Caenorhabditis elegans: one gene and its partners. The protein of the gene in region 2 interacts with the protein of the main gene of each other region in a pairwise test. Each region holds a gene or a part of one and is shown on either strand. Other genes may lie near its edges.

The links.
Region 1: the proteins of cyld-1 (region 2) and F17A2.13 interact in a two-hybrid assay, tested with the Caenorhabditis elegans proteins (one large-scale study listed by BioGRID).
Region 3: the proteins of cyld-1 (region 2) and hum-1 interact in a two-hybrid assay, tested with the Caenorhabditis elegans proteins (one large-scale study listed by BioGRID).

The regions. Positions count from the first base shown.
Region 1 is NC_003284.9:12,319,974-12,323,503, forward strand, and holds F17A2.13 (uncharacterized protein), read left to right. Parts: upstream 1-1,683; 5' UTR 1,684-1,692; coding exon 1,693-2,404; intron 2,405-2,548; coding exon 2,549-2,805; 3' UTR 2,806-3,020; downstream 3,021-3,530. Other genes in the region: Homeobox protein ceh-40, read right to left, coding at 636-727.
Region 2 is NC_003281.10:9,907,619-9,912,432, reverse strand, and holds the start of cyld-1 (ubiquitinyl hydrolase 1), read left to right. Parts: upstream 1-1,774; 5' UTR 1,775-1,775; coding exon 1,776-1,812; intron 1,813-1,864; coding exon 1,865-2,022; intron 2,023-2,077; coding exon 2,078-2,317; intron 2,318-2,710; coding exon 2,711-2,836; intron 2,837-3,116; coding exon 3,117-3,193; intron 3,194-3,236; coding exon 3,237-3,345; intron 3,346-4,814.
Region 3 is NC_003279.8:8,845,299-8,852,682, reverse strand, and holds hum-1 (Unconventional myosin-Ie), read left to right. Parts: upstream 1-1,566; 5' UTR 1,567-1,587; coding exon 1,588-1,719; intron 1,720-1,830; coding exon 1,831-1,973; intron 1,974-2,027; coding exon 2,028-2,157; intron 2,158-2,204; coding exon 2,205-2,348; intron 2,349-2,397; coding exon 2,398-2,610; intron 2,611-2,699; coding exon 2,700-2,832; intron 2,833-2,878; coding exon 2,879-2,960; intron 2,961-3,005; coding exon 3,006-3,115; intron 3,116-3,162; coding exon 3,163-3,283; intron 3,284-3,396; coding exon 3,397-3,798; intron 3,799-3,861; coding exon 3,862-3,943; intron 3,944-3,989; coding exon 3,990-4,340; intron 4,341-4,388; coding exon 4,389-4,496; intron 4,497-4,547; coding exon 4,548-4,724; intron 4,725-4,773; coding exon 4,774-4,880; intron 4,881-4,928; coding exon 4,929-5,066; intron 5,067-5,121; coding exon 5,122-5,333; intron 5,334-6,043; coding exon 6,044-6,174; intron 6,175-6,224; coding exon 6,225-6,537; intron 6,538-6,587; and 3 more. Other genes in the region: F29D10.3 (PAN-3 domain-containing protein), read left to right, coding at 7,202-7,306.

The sequences.
Region 1 (3,530 bases), on a different chromosome or scaffold from region 2:
ATTTTTTATTTTCAGGAGGAAGTGAATATCCTCTTTTCTTTTTTGTATCTTGATAGTAATCTCTAGTGTTGGTTTTCATCTTATCGCAACTTCTCCATAAATGTATAGTTACCAAAACAATATTATGATAAATACTGAAGTTGAAAGAAAAACATAAGCACTCCAGCGGAGAGTTTGCTTAAGAAAGTTTTTCCAAAAAATAGTTTTCAAGAAGTTTGTGATGATAGTTGAACTAGAGCAATGTTTTAAGGAGCGGTACTGTTCAAATAAAGAAATTAGAGACAGGCTATTGCCTACAAAAGCTGATCAAAAAAATTAAACATTTGATGTTTTACGAAACTTTGCTTAAAAGCATATCTTGTCATTATTTTTTCTTGAGTCGTAAACTAATCAAAGTATTTTAAGTATGAATGAACATTTGTTATCAACATCTATAAACATTGACCAAAATTTTGAAACTTATTAATAATTTTGATTTGAATACTTATATCATCAACACGCCCATGAAACAATATTGAGAATTTTTATTATAGGAATATCAGAAAAAACAAGCGCAAACCATCACATAACGATTGTTGATTTTTTTTTTTGAAAACTTCGATTTATGGCAGCACATAAGCAAAAATCTAACTCACAATTTATTGACAGCTTCATTATCCATAGTCATGTCGGTAATTTTGACAACTTCTGACAGCAGATCCATAATCGATTTTGACGCCTCACTCATGTCTACAATAAACCAGAATTAATGATAAATGACAGGAAACGTATTGGAGATAAAATGTTGATGAGACGGACACATTAGCGAGAGGTGGGGTAAAAACGTAACGTTGTCAAGAATAAAGACAAATTGTGGTTGACAGACAGTATCGGTGCACGCAACGCAAGTGGTTGTAAATGATGTGCGCAGTTTGGGCGAGTCAATCGAATACTTTTTTGTGTGCAAGCGTTCGTTGCGTAATGAGCGCAACTGTGCGGTGAGATGGGAAGGTCAGCCGATATTCAGTCACGATATGAGTTGCAACAGATGCCGTTTCCCACATATTGGATTATTCGCCCATTGTTCTCCTCTTTCTTGCTCTTAATGTTGCCTAATCGTTTTTTTTTGTGTTCTCAATCTTACAAGTTAATGCATTTTTTATTGTTTTTTTCTCAGAAGCAAAGTTGCGTTATATAGTAACCAAATTTGAATTATGCTTTTTTTCAATTAAATCTGAAGATAGTGGACAGTCACTTTTTTGAAGAAGCCTGTAGAAACAACAGAACAAAATTAAATGGTGCAATTTTTTCTGATTTCACTGTTAAGCTGCAGTTTTTAGTTATTAGTTTTGCAGTCAACAAAGATTATCTGCCAAACTTGGAAGGGTGTCAATGTTCCCATTGCTACATGTTGTTTTCCTCTGACGATTTATGGGTTGAAGAGTCGGGAAAGGAGTGGGATGAGAGTCTAATGTCGCGTTAGCAATATCGATCGATATAAATAAGTGTAAAAATATCTAATTCCTCGTTTTCTTCATTTTGTATTTGAACGAATGGTCTTCTGTTTACACTCTCAATTATTCTCCGTCTCGAAAACAACTGTTTGGACTTTTTTTTTTCAATCTTACTCTTTTGTTCCACATTTTTTTAACGTTCTCAATTTTTCAACTGGTTATACAATACCTATAATTTTTTTTAAATTTCAGTACAACAATGTCGTGTTGCAATGACTTCTCCTACTCCAACGCTGGAATCTATAGGCAAGCGATGGAGGATATCATGTTTACCCCGAACAAAGATAAAAAGAAGTCAGCCTTTCATGATGAAACTTTAAATAGCCTCCGAAAAGTGAGCAGATTGGTGCAGAAGTTTGAAAGTGGCGGAACTGACGATGAGACTGTTGATGAGACCGAAAAAGAAGAGCAAGGAGAAGATGTGTGCGATGGTCCTGTGTTCAGGAAGGAGTCTTTTCTGAAACAGAGCCAAAATGAAGAAGAAGAAGAAAAGGCAGATGTTCAAGAAAATTTTGACGAGCAGGAGAATGCTAAAAATGAAAACGACGAGGTGTTCTATGAAAACGAGAACGAAGCAAAGGAACTAGTCGAGACCCCCATTCTCCGATCTTTGTCCCGCCAATTTTCTGGCCTAACGATTATCAAGTCTCACATCAAAAAAGACAATCTCGATGTGGAGAGTAGATCTCCAGCTCGTCGTGAGACGAGAATCATGTCAAGAAGAAAACAAGAATCGTCAGTGTCGTCATGCTCATCGGAGAGCTCTCATTGCTCCGCTTCATCGTCTCTCAGTAAGACGGAAAAACCAGAACCTGAGAATAGCAACTTCGTAAACGAACTGTACTACTGCAAATTGGCGAGATCTCAAGTTCACCACAAGTTTGAAGCATACTTCAAGTGGAAATCAGAGAGTAAGCATTTCTAAATTTTGAACATAAATTTTATTAGAGAAACTGATGTTTAATGGCAAGCGGAACTGTTTATCAACATGCAAGCAAAATTTATATTTCGTTTAGAGCAGTGTCTAATTATCACTAATATTGTTTAATTTTCAGCACTCCGATCAATTGCGGCATCGGTTTCACAGATGCGCTTGGACACATTGAATTCGATCATTGCACCACACGATGAACGCGTAAATGTTCTCAAGACAATCTATGAAAATTGCAAGAAGGGAGTAAACAAAGAAATGGATGCACTGTGCTGTGCTCTTTTTGATCTTCTTGATGATGTCGATGAGAAGTCATTATCGATTCACGAGGAATACGTTGCTGCCAAGTACCATAAAAAGTTGCAAAGTCAAAACTGTTAGTGGATATTTTGACATAGTCTTTTTTAATCTTTAGCTATTCCACCGCCTACTTCTTGTCAAATTTCTGAAGTTTTAATGTCTACCTGAATCTCGTTGTTTCACATTGTTTTTTTGTTTTCCTTTTGATCCTTCAATATTTTCTTTTTTTTTTCGTTTTAAAACATGTTTTGAATTGCCAATTCATGGTAAAGTTTTAATAAACAATCATAGTCAGTAATTAAATTTGGATAGTATTTGTCAATAGTTAGTCAAACTTGTCATAAATGTGTGGACAAAATAAAAACAATAATGAATATATTATTGGGCATAATACAGAAAAAGGGATGAGCTGAATTCTATTATATATAGTGATCTATGTTGACTTTTGATATTAATTGCCTAACATCTAAAATCTTTGATATTTGATAAATTTCCACTGAACACTGAACCTACTTAAGGCTATTCACAACAACAAATTGAAAAAGCATTCAGACACAATTTAGGCACGTTTCGCGCAACAATTTAACCACAAAATGTTCATAAATCTAAATTCTCGAAATTGGTTCTGCAAAATTGAAAAAAAAAAAATTAAGTGCCTGATAATTTATTTTGAATATTAATCGTTTGAAATGATAATGTTCCGCGCTTTCCAGCGGACGAAAACCGGGTTTCTACTTATTTTTTAATTTCCATCTTTTTGTTGCTCAGGTTGTCGTAGTTGGTTGAAATTCCTGATTAAATGTTCA
Region 2 (4,814 bases):
CTGAATGAATCCGTGCGTCTTTAAGTTCACATTATAGTATTATGGTTCCAAACTTAAGGCCACACAATAGTTCAACACACGTCATTTCTAGCTAAAAAATATTATCTTGAATAACTCAATGTTCAATAGGAGAGACGAAAAGATAATTTAATGTATTTTCTGTTGATACTTTTAACTATTAATTTTGTTTATTAAATGTGATAACTTCCACTATTCCATAAGATGGATTCAGTTACATTTTTATTGCATTCAATTGTTGTTTATATTGGTGCGCAAGTCCAATCGAATGCGTTGTCCGTCTATCCTCAAGAGAACCGGTCTTTCCGTTTCCTCGACTTTTATCGATTTTTGCATTGAACTGCGTGTTCGGTTTGATTTAAAAAAGGTTCTGTATTTTTTAATTTATATTTTAAATTTGAATTTTCAAAAAACTTTCCAGCTACATTTCGAGTTCTCGTCTTCTTCAAAATGTCCAATCTTTTTGACAAATAAACTCATGTGCCTGGACCGCACTCAAACAAACGTACATGCAATCTGAATGTTACATCTTTTCTTTATTTATCTCAAAAAATTTGTATTTACCCAAATACTCATTTAAATAGCCACAACATTTTTAGTCATGTTGGTACCCTTGAAAAGGTTGCTCTAAACTTTAAATTGTCAATTTGAAGCTCTATTTGAGATGGGGTGGGCTCTGGGAATCTTGTTATCTGCTCACTGGGTTTTTGTCGGTTTTCTTTCATTCTAAAGCAATTCTGGATATTTTTGAAATTTTGATTTCTGAAAACTTTCCACTTTCCACTTTCCACTAACTACTATCTTTTTTCTTCGTTTTATTTCAAAAAGAAAGAAATAAAGCGAAAAATTATGTTAACCTGTCGCTAAATATCGGAAAATCTCATATTGGCTGGGTACCGCCACGCGATGTATAATTAAAATAAAATTTTAGTGTGTGCGCCTTTAAATGTTACTGTAGAATTTTAACAATGTTTTTTTAACTATAAAAACAATTAATTTTGAGTTAAATAACAAAATAATGGAACATTTTAAAAAAATTAGAAGACACAATAATTTTCTTTCCGCAAATAAAATCGAAGAAAACAAGCCTAGAAATTGTACAGTAACAGGCGCAGACACCAAAACTTTATTTCCAGCGCGCGCGGCGAGACCCATCCGCAGACATGCACCTCCCTTGAAACATGTTTGAATTTTTATTTTTGTTTTGTTTCATTTAAATGCATTTTTGAACATTTTCAGCGATTTTTAAAGATTTTTTCGTCGTAAATTCCGTAATAAATTTTTCAGAAACATGCTCAACCTTTGCCTACATTTTTTCGCATAAAATTTACCATTTTTGAAGAGAATCGCAATTTTAAATGGCATTTGCAACATAAACTATCTGCTCCGCAAGCCTCTTATCATTTTCCCTCGCTTTCTGTAAATAATTGTGTCAAAGCTCTCGTTCTCTCATTCTCTTTCGAAAACGTTCTCTGTCATTTGCTTGCTCGATGTTTTATTTTTCGGCAAAAAAAACCTAGCGCGCAAGGAAAACCCGAGGTCAAAACCAAAAATATTATTCAACACCAAATAGGTATATGATGCGGAAGTCTAATAATTGTTTGGACAACGTCCTTTTCTATTTGCTCACCGAAACGTAACACTGAGCTTCGCGCGCGCGCTTCGTCCACCGCTCTCCACTTATAGTACGAATCTTTATTTCATTTATTGAAATGTTGTCGTTCGTCAAACGTTCTAAACAACCCGCATATTTCAGAATGCCCGGCGAATTTGCAAAGTTTCCGGAGCAATCAGGTATTTTACGAAATAATAATAATTTTTTTTAAAACTATGTTTTTAATTTCAGCTGGATCTCATCAATTTCGTAACCCACTCGATGAACTTACGGGATCAAATACAATAACAAATTTAACTGCACACGATTTTGATTATTTTACACAGTCCGAGAAAAATTCAAATTTATATACAAGTGAAAATACAAGCAATTCTAACAGATTAAATCTCGTAAGTAACATTATTCTTGCTAAATCGATTTTTAAAAATTCGTTTTTTTTTTCAGAATCAAAATATACCGGTCGGCACATTAATAGATGGATTTGAGCTTATTAATGAAGCTTCTGGCTCCGGCTTTTTAGATGATCAATTAGTGGATGTTAGCGATTATAGCCGAGATAGGACGACGAAGCTGGATAGGAATAGGAATTCTCCCGAGCTAATAGTTGCTCTTTTGCAACGAAAAGTTCAAGGAATTCGATTTTCATCGAATTATGGAAGAGAGGAAGAACCATGTGTTATTGAGGTGATTGAAGTGGATTTAAATGAGGAAAATGAGCCAAAAAGACCGAATAGCGATAGTTTTCGGGGAAAAAAACAGAATTTCATCTAAAATCGCCAATTCTCCGTGTCGTAGCTGCCGAAATTTGATTTTTATTTATTTTTTGTCATCTTTAAGTTTTTTAAACGCTTTTTTTGTTGATTTAGGTAATTTTTGAGCCGATAATCGATTGATCAACGGAGAAACAACCAAAATATGAGAAAAAAATCCGGCCGACACTCAAAAGCGTGCATAATTTGATGTTTTAGCTGAAATCATGTTTTTGTAAAGCATTTTGGAGAAGTTTCGTTATGAAATTTGGTCTTTTGCTTATTTTTTCCACAATTAAACATTTTTAATTTTATTTTCTATTTTCAGATCCCACCAGGAACAATGGTTCGCGAAATGGCAGATGATGATTGGAAAATGTCTGAATTAAAAGAATGGTTCACAAAATCAAGAGCTTCTTCGCATTTACGTGATGGATTAGCAATGCCCATGGAGGTATCGTAATTACCCTGATTTTTGCGGCTAAAACTACGGTAGCGGGTCTCGACGCGACAAATTTAAAAGAACTGTAATTCAAAATTTTCGTTCCCGGCGAATTTTCATTGAATTTGTATAGTTTTTCTCCAGAATTCTTGTTTTTTTTTTTGAAAAAACGATTAAAAAATCGATAAAAATTCCAAAAATTTGTCGTTTCGAGATCGGCTACCGTATTTTTGGCACAAAATTTTTCGTCAAATTAATGCCTTTTCAGTTTCTCAATTTTTTTAAATTTCAGGAACTCGACTGCACTCCTCTGATTTGTGCAATGATTACCAGATCCGATGTAATGAGAATAAACCAAGATCAAGCAATGTATATTTATTATCTTTATAAATAAAATTTTTTCCCTTTTCAGACATCTTCTGGCTGTCAGTGTAGAGAAACGAATAGAAGTTTATCAAAATTTCGAATGGTTCAATTTCATTCTGAATCTGAAAATTGGCGATTCTGTTTCTGTGGAAGTGGTAAGTATTTGAAATTATATGTTTCTCAAAGGAATCTAGTTTTTAACCAAAAAAAAAGAAAAATAAAACAACGAATTCAAAATAAAGAGACGCAGACGAGAAATGGGCGTCTCCTTGTATTCAGAATTAGACTGTCACACGTGACTGATTGAAATTCCGATGGCATGACTAACTTATAAGTTTCTTGAAAATAATATAATGGGATAGGAATTAATGGCCCACGAGTCACATTTTTTGCTAGGCCTCTGTAAATTCCGCTCTGACAAAGTCAATTTTCCGGCTTTAATTAAAAAAAAAAACGAATTTTTTTGAAAATCGAAAAAAAATTGGAGTCTCTTGCTCGAATAATGAAATTTTTTTGTTTTTTCGAATGAAATAGTGATTGTGCCTCATCTTAAATAGTTTACTAGTGTCCAAAAAATCGAGAAATTTTCGTTTTTATTTTTTATTCTCAAACTCTCGATTTATATTTATCTCTTCTGGTCCGGGAAAAAATTAAATCCGGGAAAATTTCAAATGTACAAAAAAAATACATCCACATAGATTATGATACTTCTGATAAAGGGTGTCGTTTTTCGGTTTTTCCAAAATAGAAAAATTGGAAATCGAAAAACAAAAATTCTCGATTTTTCGAATTTTTAAAAATTTCGGAAAATCGAAAAATCAAAAAGACAATTTTTTTTCAGAAAATTAACCATAAAATATGATTTTTAAAGTTTAATTTCGTTTACATTGTTGAGAAAAAAACAAAACAATTTATTCTAAAATGAAGAACAATGAACAAAATTTTAAAGCTAATTTTAGAAAAATCGAAAAATGAAATAGAGAACCGGTTCACGATATCATTGACACTGACCGAAATATGTTTTATTGAACAACATCGAGAGGGATTAAGCATACAGTCGGCAGAAAATTGAGAAATTCTTTCAGTTTTAATTTTAATTTGAATCAGAAGCAAGGGCGTCGGGTTTTCAATTTTTGAAAAAACTAAAAATCGAAAAATCGAAAACTTTTTAGAAAAATCGAAAAATGAAAAGTTTTCGATTTTTCGATTTTTAGTTTTTTCAAAAATTGAAAACCCGACGCCCTTGCTTCTGATTCAAATTAAAATTAAAACTGAAAGAATTTCTCAATTTTCTGCCGACTGTATGCTTAATCCCTCTCGATGTTGTTCAATAAAACATATTTCGGTCAGTGTCAATGATATCGTGAACCGGTTCTCTATTTAGTTCTTTCTCTCTCTCTTTTCAACACAAAAAACATAGAGTTCCTCTTTCTCTGTGTGAAAGTATAAGTTATCCTCTTCTCTCTCTCTCTCTCTCTCTCTCTAACAAACTATTTGCCTGTTTAGTTGTTTCTTTCTTTCCTCTTCATCGTCTCAACCAACTTGTTTCTCATTTCATTGGCGACGCCCTTCCTTCTCCCAATTTGTTGTCATCGAACTTGAATTGATTGAAACAAAATCAGTT
Region 3 (7,384 bases), on a different chromosome or scaffold from region 2:
CTTTTCTTTCTCTCCTTTTTATTTGTTGTATATTTCATCACTTTTTTCCATTTTTGTTCGTCATATACTCATGTTTCTCATCTCCTTGTGCCGTTTGGCACTCCCGAGACGTTTTCACTGATGAATGCAAAAAGTCATGGCTTTTGGTCTTTTCGAGTGAAATTCGACATTTTATTTTTTTCATTTTTCTCTGATAATGAAACAAAACTTTGATAATGACTCACTTTGCCTAGTTTTGATCAAAATTTTGATAAAATTGAAATTAGTGAGTTTTGTAGAAAATTGGCTTTCAATTTTTAAGTTTCGCGCTGTTTTCGTTAGGGCGCACTTGCACATTGCGATTTATCTTCCGTGGGCACGGTTTCTGAATTTATAGGCGGAGTTTTTTGTTGAATGCTTATTAATAACATATTTTATTATGACGAAAGTTTATATTTGTTTTTAAATATGAATTTATATAAACCAAATTTAGATTAATAGCTTAATGTAAAAGATTTCCTAAAAATAACTTTTCCATAAGATAAACTTCTCCGCAAGTTTGAAAGTCCTCTTAAAATTAATTTTAATTTTGTTTCATTTGAATTAGTTGTCTTTTGCAGCTGTTTGTCAGGATTTCATAACTTATTCAAAGATTTTTTTCTATTTTTCATCCGTCTAATGTTTTGCTCAAATCAAAATTCATAAATAAATATTCTAATATGTATCTTCAAGCCTCTTCCAATTTTTTCTGAAACTCACTAAATATATTAAACACTCCTTCCATGTTTCCTACACATTTCTGACACATCTAAAATCAAACAGATCAGAGATGTGGTCATCGTGAAATTGAAAATATGTTCCTCTTGCTTATGAGTCATCGTGTTGTGTTGACTGCCTACGTCTCTCGTTCTTCATGCATCTTTTGTTTTAGACTTTATACTAATAGTAAAAATTCTAGAATGCGTTTCATTAGACAGAAACTGTTTTCAAAAACACCTTTGAATTCTGTTAGAATAATTTTAAATTATTCAACACTCTATCCACAGCTTTTATGTTCAAACGAAACTTAACGGTGTCCATCTATGTCTCCGCGATTTCTGAAGGTCACACTCCAAGGTGGCAAGGATGTAAATGAAGACAGGCACAATTGGAAAGTGGTCACCTCCTTCTGTTCATCCTCCTTTCGTTCCAAAAAGTCAATCGTCTCACCTCAATTGGTCTGTCGCTTCTCAAATTCTCTACCCGTTTGACTTTTATTTAAAATTGTTTACTTCACTCTAAATTTTAATATTTTTCAATTTTAAATTGTCTTAAATCCGTTCTTAAAATTTTGGTTTTCATCGAGAAACTTTCATTCATCTCCTCTAGTTCATAATTCCTACTCATCAATCTTTTCATTTCGCTCGATGAATTCACTACCTTCTATTATAAACGAAATTACCGGATTACTCTCTCTCTTTTACTCTTCAACTGTAATAAAAAAGCGACAAGTTGGTCGAAAACGACATTTATAATCCCCTCTCCTGTTTCTTAGACTTTTTGTTTCCCATATTCCCCATTTCTCGGAATTATGTCTGTTTTTTTCAGTAAATACGCCGGTGGTTCATTATGGCGTTCCACTGGCAATCAAAAGTCAATGTTCAGCATGTCGGGGTCGATGACATGGTCCTTCTGCCAAAACTCACAGAGCAAAGTATCGTTGAAAATTTAAAGAAGAGGCTTCAAGCTAACAGTATTTTTGTAAGTTTAGAAGCTTTTCTATCAATTGTTATATTTTTTTGCTGGTTCAAGAAACTTAATCGCTAAAGTTAATTTTAAAGCCTAACCAATAATTAATGTTTCATATTTCAGACATATATTGGTCCTGTACTGATATCGGTAAATCCCTTCAAACAAATGCCATATTTTACGGAGAAAGAAATGCTTCTATATCAGGGAGCTGCTCAATATGAAAATGCGCCACATATCTATGCATTGGCTGATAACATGTACAGGTAAGATAGTTTTCAATGTAATGAAAAATGTTTTTAAAAAAGTTGAAAATTCAGAAATATGCTCATTGATAACGAGTCCCAATGTGTTATTATATCTGGAGAATCCGGTGCCGGTAAAACAGTCAACGCGAAGTTCATTATGAATTATATTTCTCGTATTTCGGGAGGAGGGCAGAAAGTTCAGGTAAATTTACTGATTAGAGGTATGATTTTGAAACTATGAATTTTCAGCACATCAAAGATGTTATTTTGCAATCAAATCCACTTCTCGAAGCTTTCGGAAACAGTGCAACAGTCCGTAACTGGAACAGTTCGAGATTTGGAAAATACGTAGAAATTGTGTTCAGTCGAGGTGGAGAACCTATTGGTGGAAAAGTAGGTTTTTAATAGTTTTTTTGCTAATTTTTCACAAACAATTTTTCAGCTTTCCAACTTTCTTTTGGAAAAGTCTCGAGTTGTTCATCAAAATGAAGGAGATCGAAACTTCCATGTTTTTTATCAATTATGCGCTGGCGCAGACAAGAACTTGAGAAGTACTTTCGGAATTGGAGAACTTCAATATTACAACTATTTAAATATGAGTGGAGTTTTCAAAGCAGACGATACGGACGATGGGAAGGAATTTGAGAGCACCCTGGTAAGATTTATGATCAGACAAATCGATTTTGTACAACAAGAACTCAGAAATTATTTTCCCCGTTTTATATAAAATATTATATTTTCCAGCACGCAATGAAAGTTGTCGGTGTTAATGATCAAGATCAATTAGAAGTTTTGCGAATTGTGGCAACTGTTCTCCATATCGGAAATATCACTTTCACCGAGGAGAATAATTTTGCTGCAGTTAGTGGAAAAGATTGTGAGTTACTGTTTTAAGATATATCACTTTACATTTAATTATTTAGATCTTGAATATCCTGCCTTCCTTCTGGGACTCACTAGTGCAGACATTGAGGCAAAGCTTACTGGTCGTAAAATGGAGAGCAAGTGAGCAGTTTCACATTAGTTTCAAATATTTCAATTTATTTTCAGATGGGGTACACAAAAGGAAGAAATCGATATGAAGCTTAACGTTGAGCAGGCGAGCTATACCAGAGACGCATGGGTTAAAGCAATTTACGCAAGATTATTCGATTATCTTGGTTAGCTTATTCATTTAAAATTTCTTTCCATGTATAAAAAATTACAGTAAAAAAAGTGAATGACGCAATGAATATCACTTCACAATCGACTTCAGACAACTTTTCTGTTGGAATTCTTGATATCTACGGTTTCGAAATTTTCAACAATAATGGATTTGAACAATTTTGGTAAGTTTAAGTTATTCTACTGAAATGATTGACCCAGTTTGTCTAAAAACCGAATTGTTCCTATTTTTGTTTTTGGAAAACCTTAATATTGATGAAATTAATACGAATTTCAGTATCAACTTTGTCAATGAAAAACTTCAACAAATCTTCATCGAATTAACGCTAAAAGCAGAACAGGAAGAATATGTTCGTGAAGGAATCAAATGGACAGAAATCGATTATTTCGATAACAAAATCGTGTGTGATCTGATTGAAACGAAGCGTCCACCTGGAATAATGAGCCTTCTTGATGATACATGTGCTCAAAATCATGGACAACGAGAAGGTGTCGATCGTCAATTGCTCACGACTCTTTCGAAATCATTTGCTGGACATCCCCATTTCGGCCCTGGCTCAGATTCATTCGTTATCAAACATTATGCTGGAGATGTTACATATAATGTAGATGGATTCTGTGATAGAAACAGAGATGTTCTTTATCCAGATCTTATTCTACTCATGCAAAAGTCTTCACGGTAAGGTTTTAATTTTCTAAATGTGTGTTTTGTTTTATTATTTCATTTGGTTTTTTTTTTCAGCCCATTCATTCAAGCTTTATTCCCTGAAAATGTAGCTGCGTCAGCTGGAAAACGACCAACAACATTCTCAACTAAGATTCGAGTATGTTTTAGTAATAAAATGTCAACATTTTTAATTTTAATTGCAGACTCAAGCTAATACTCTTGTGGAATCCCTGATGAAATGCTCACCTCATTACGTACGATGTATCAAGCCAAATGAAACAAAACGACCAAATGATTGGGAAGAGAGTCGAGTGAAGCATCAGGTTGAATATTTGGGTCTTCGTGAGAATATTCGAGTGAGAAGAGCTGGTTTTGCATATCGAAGAGCTTTCGACAAATTTGCCCAACGATATGCCATCGTCTCTCCTCAAACGTGGCCATGTTTCCAAGGAGATCAGCAAAGAGCTTGTGAGATAATCTGCGATTCAGTTCATATGGAAAAGAATCAGTATCAGATGGGAAAAACTAAGATATTTGTAAAGAATCCCGAATCGGTATGTTTTTCTAAATCAAAATATCGAAATGCAATAGATACATTCCAGCTGTTTTTATTGGAAGAGACTCGTGAACGCAAGTTTGATGGTTACGCAAGAGTCATTCAAAAAGCCTGGAGACAATTCTCGGCTAGAAAGCAGCACATTAAGCAAAAGGTAAAATCCAACAAAAATAAAAAATTGAATAAACATAAATTCTTATTTCAGGAGCAAGCTGCCGACCTCATGTATGGAAAAAAGGAACGCCGTCGCTACTCATTAAACCGAAACTTTGTCGGAGATTACATTGGATTAGAGCATCATCCGACACTTCAGTCCCTGGTTGGCAAGCGTCAGAGAGTGCTGTTTGCATGCACTGCTAACAAATATGATAGAAAGTTTAGGGTACGGTAAATTTGAGTTTAATTATTAGTCATCAATCGTTTATGTTTAGGTGACAAAACTTGATTTACTTTTGACTGTCAATCATTTGACTCTTATTGGAAAAGAAAAAGTGAAGAATGGTCCCGAAAAGGGGAAGATCGTTGAAGTTATCAAAAGGTATGATTTTTCCATTTTATTAAGATTAGTTTAAAATTAAAATTTCAGACAATTTGATCTACCTCAAATCAAATCAATTGGTCTATCTCCATATCAAGACGATTTTGTGATATTATATCTGGGAAACGATGATTATTCTTCTCTTCTCGAAACACCATTCAAAACTGAATTCTGTACAGCTCTCTCGTAAGCGCATTATATTGATTTGACTAATTCAAAGTTACGTATTCTTCAATTTTAGAAAAGCATATAAAGAACGAACAAACGGTACTCTTCATCTCGATTTCCGTAGTTCTCATGTTGTTAGTTACAAAAAGATGAAATTCGATTTCTCCGATGGAAAACGAACGGTTCAGTTTGGAAACGATGGAACTTCGTCTGCAGAGAAGACATTGAAACCAAATGGAAAAGTTTTGAATGTTAGCATTGGTACTGGATTACCGAATACTACAAGTGAGTCGAGAATGTTTGAAAAAATTATCTTAATTGTAACTAATCAGAACAAAAAACTTATTAAAGATGGATCAATGTGGAAATTGCTTTAAAACTTGCCTATAGCACCACAATCAAGGCTGGGACCAAAAAAATTTTAATTTGTGAAAAAACAAAAAAAAAGTCGACTTTTGGTATATTTTGAACTTTTTAGAAAAAAATCATTGAAAACCATTAAGGAACACATTTTGCTTTAAAAAATTGTAAATCCCAAAATACCCCAAAATACCCCAAAATACTCAAAATACCAACAAAAAAACCAAAAAAAGCCCTGACCACAATGACCAAATATCATAGTAAAAAGTTCAAAAAATGTTTTAATTTTCATGATTTTTTGAAATTTGAAAAAGTCTCAGTTTTTCCACTTTGTTGGAAGTCGTCGATCAAAAAATGTTATCCTGTTAATTTGACGGTCGTATGTTTTAAACATTACTATTCAAACATTGTAGGGATGCGACAGTGATATAGTTTTCTCAAAAAGTGGCAAAAACTCGGTTATTGTCACTTTTTGACTTTCAATTTTTTCTTTTGAAAAGTTTTCCTATGATATTTGGTTATTTTGGAACCATGTTTAACTATTTCCAAACTGGCGCTACTCCACCTTTGTAACTGTAGTGGCGTGTAACTTCTTTAAATAATATAGAAGTTACGAATAAAATTTGAATCTTCAGGGCCATCAACTGAACGTCCACAAGGTGGGTACACCCCGCGAAGAGATCAATTGAGAACATCAACACGACGAACGAAACAGAATAATCAAAGTTATGGACAAAATGGCCAATCTCAGGCAATGAGAGCTCCGGTAAGATTTTCAAAATTAATTCCATTGTAATTTAGATTTTCAAATTTCAGGTTCCCGCTCATGGAATGAATAACAATTACAATCAGACACCAGCTCCAGTATCGACTAATCATCAATATAGCCAAGAACCTGCGCGAATTCCAGTGATGGGAAACGTCATAAATCAGTTGAATAACATGAATCTATCTGGAAACGGAAACTCTCCAGCTGGACGAGGACCTCCGCCAGCGCGTGGACCAAAACCTCCTCCACCAGCAAAGCCAAAGCTTAATCCTGTCGTTATTGCTGTCTATCCATATGAAGCTCAAGATGTTGATGAGCTCAGCTTTGAAGCTGGAGCTGAAATTGAACTCATGAACAAAGGTTTGTCATAACTATAAGAATACTATTTTTTTAAATATTTGTGATTTCAGATGCTTCTGGATGGTGGCAAGGAAAAGTGAACAATCGAGTTGGTCTTTTCCCCGGAAATTATGTCAAAGAATAATTTCATTTTTTATTGCACGATCTCCCCCTCATTTCCCCAATATCTGTGAAATGCCTGTTTGTGAACATTGATTACGAGTTGTACTATATTTCTTTAAATATTTTATATTAGCATCCTTTACTCATCAAATACTTACTTCTGTTTATAAACCACAATGGTGTAATTTCATGTTAAATTGTTACTATATTGTTTAAAATAAATCGGAAGACTACTTTTTTCTCGTCAAGTATTTCTACAAGAAAAGTATACACACCAGGGATGGATCAATAAAACTATTTTCAAATTTAGGTTTTGGATCAGTTCACAAAACTTGCTACCATATATCCTACTTTTTATGCACGGAATATATATTTACATACAAACTTTCATGTTTTACGAGCTCGATAATAACAAATACAGAATCTTAGACCTTATGCAACGTTTTCGATGAAAACTTTACGAACATTTTTTTCAATTCACCTCCAAACCGAAAATTCATTAAAAATGTTTTTGTTTCTATTAATCTTCGTGCTTCCTCGGCTCATTACTGCTAATTTGAAGATGATGGTAGTATACGGTGAAACAGATGAATACAATAATCACTCAGAAATTCAAGAAAATTGGGACAATTGTCTGGTAAAATGCTACTGGGATGACGATTGTTTAGTGAGTTATTGTATTGGATTAAGGTTTGGTACGGTATACATGAAATTTTTCAAGAAAAAAAAACGTTCCATGTTCTTA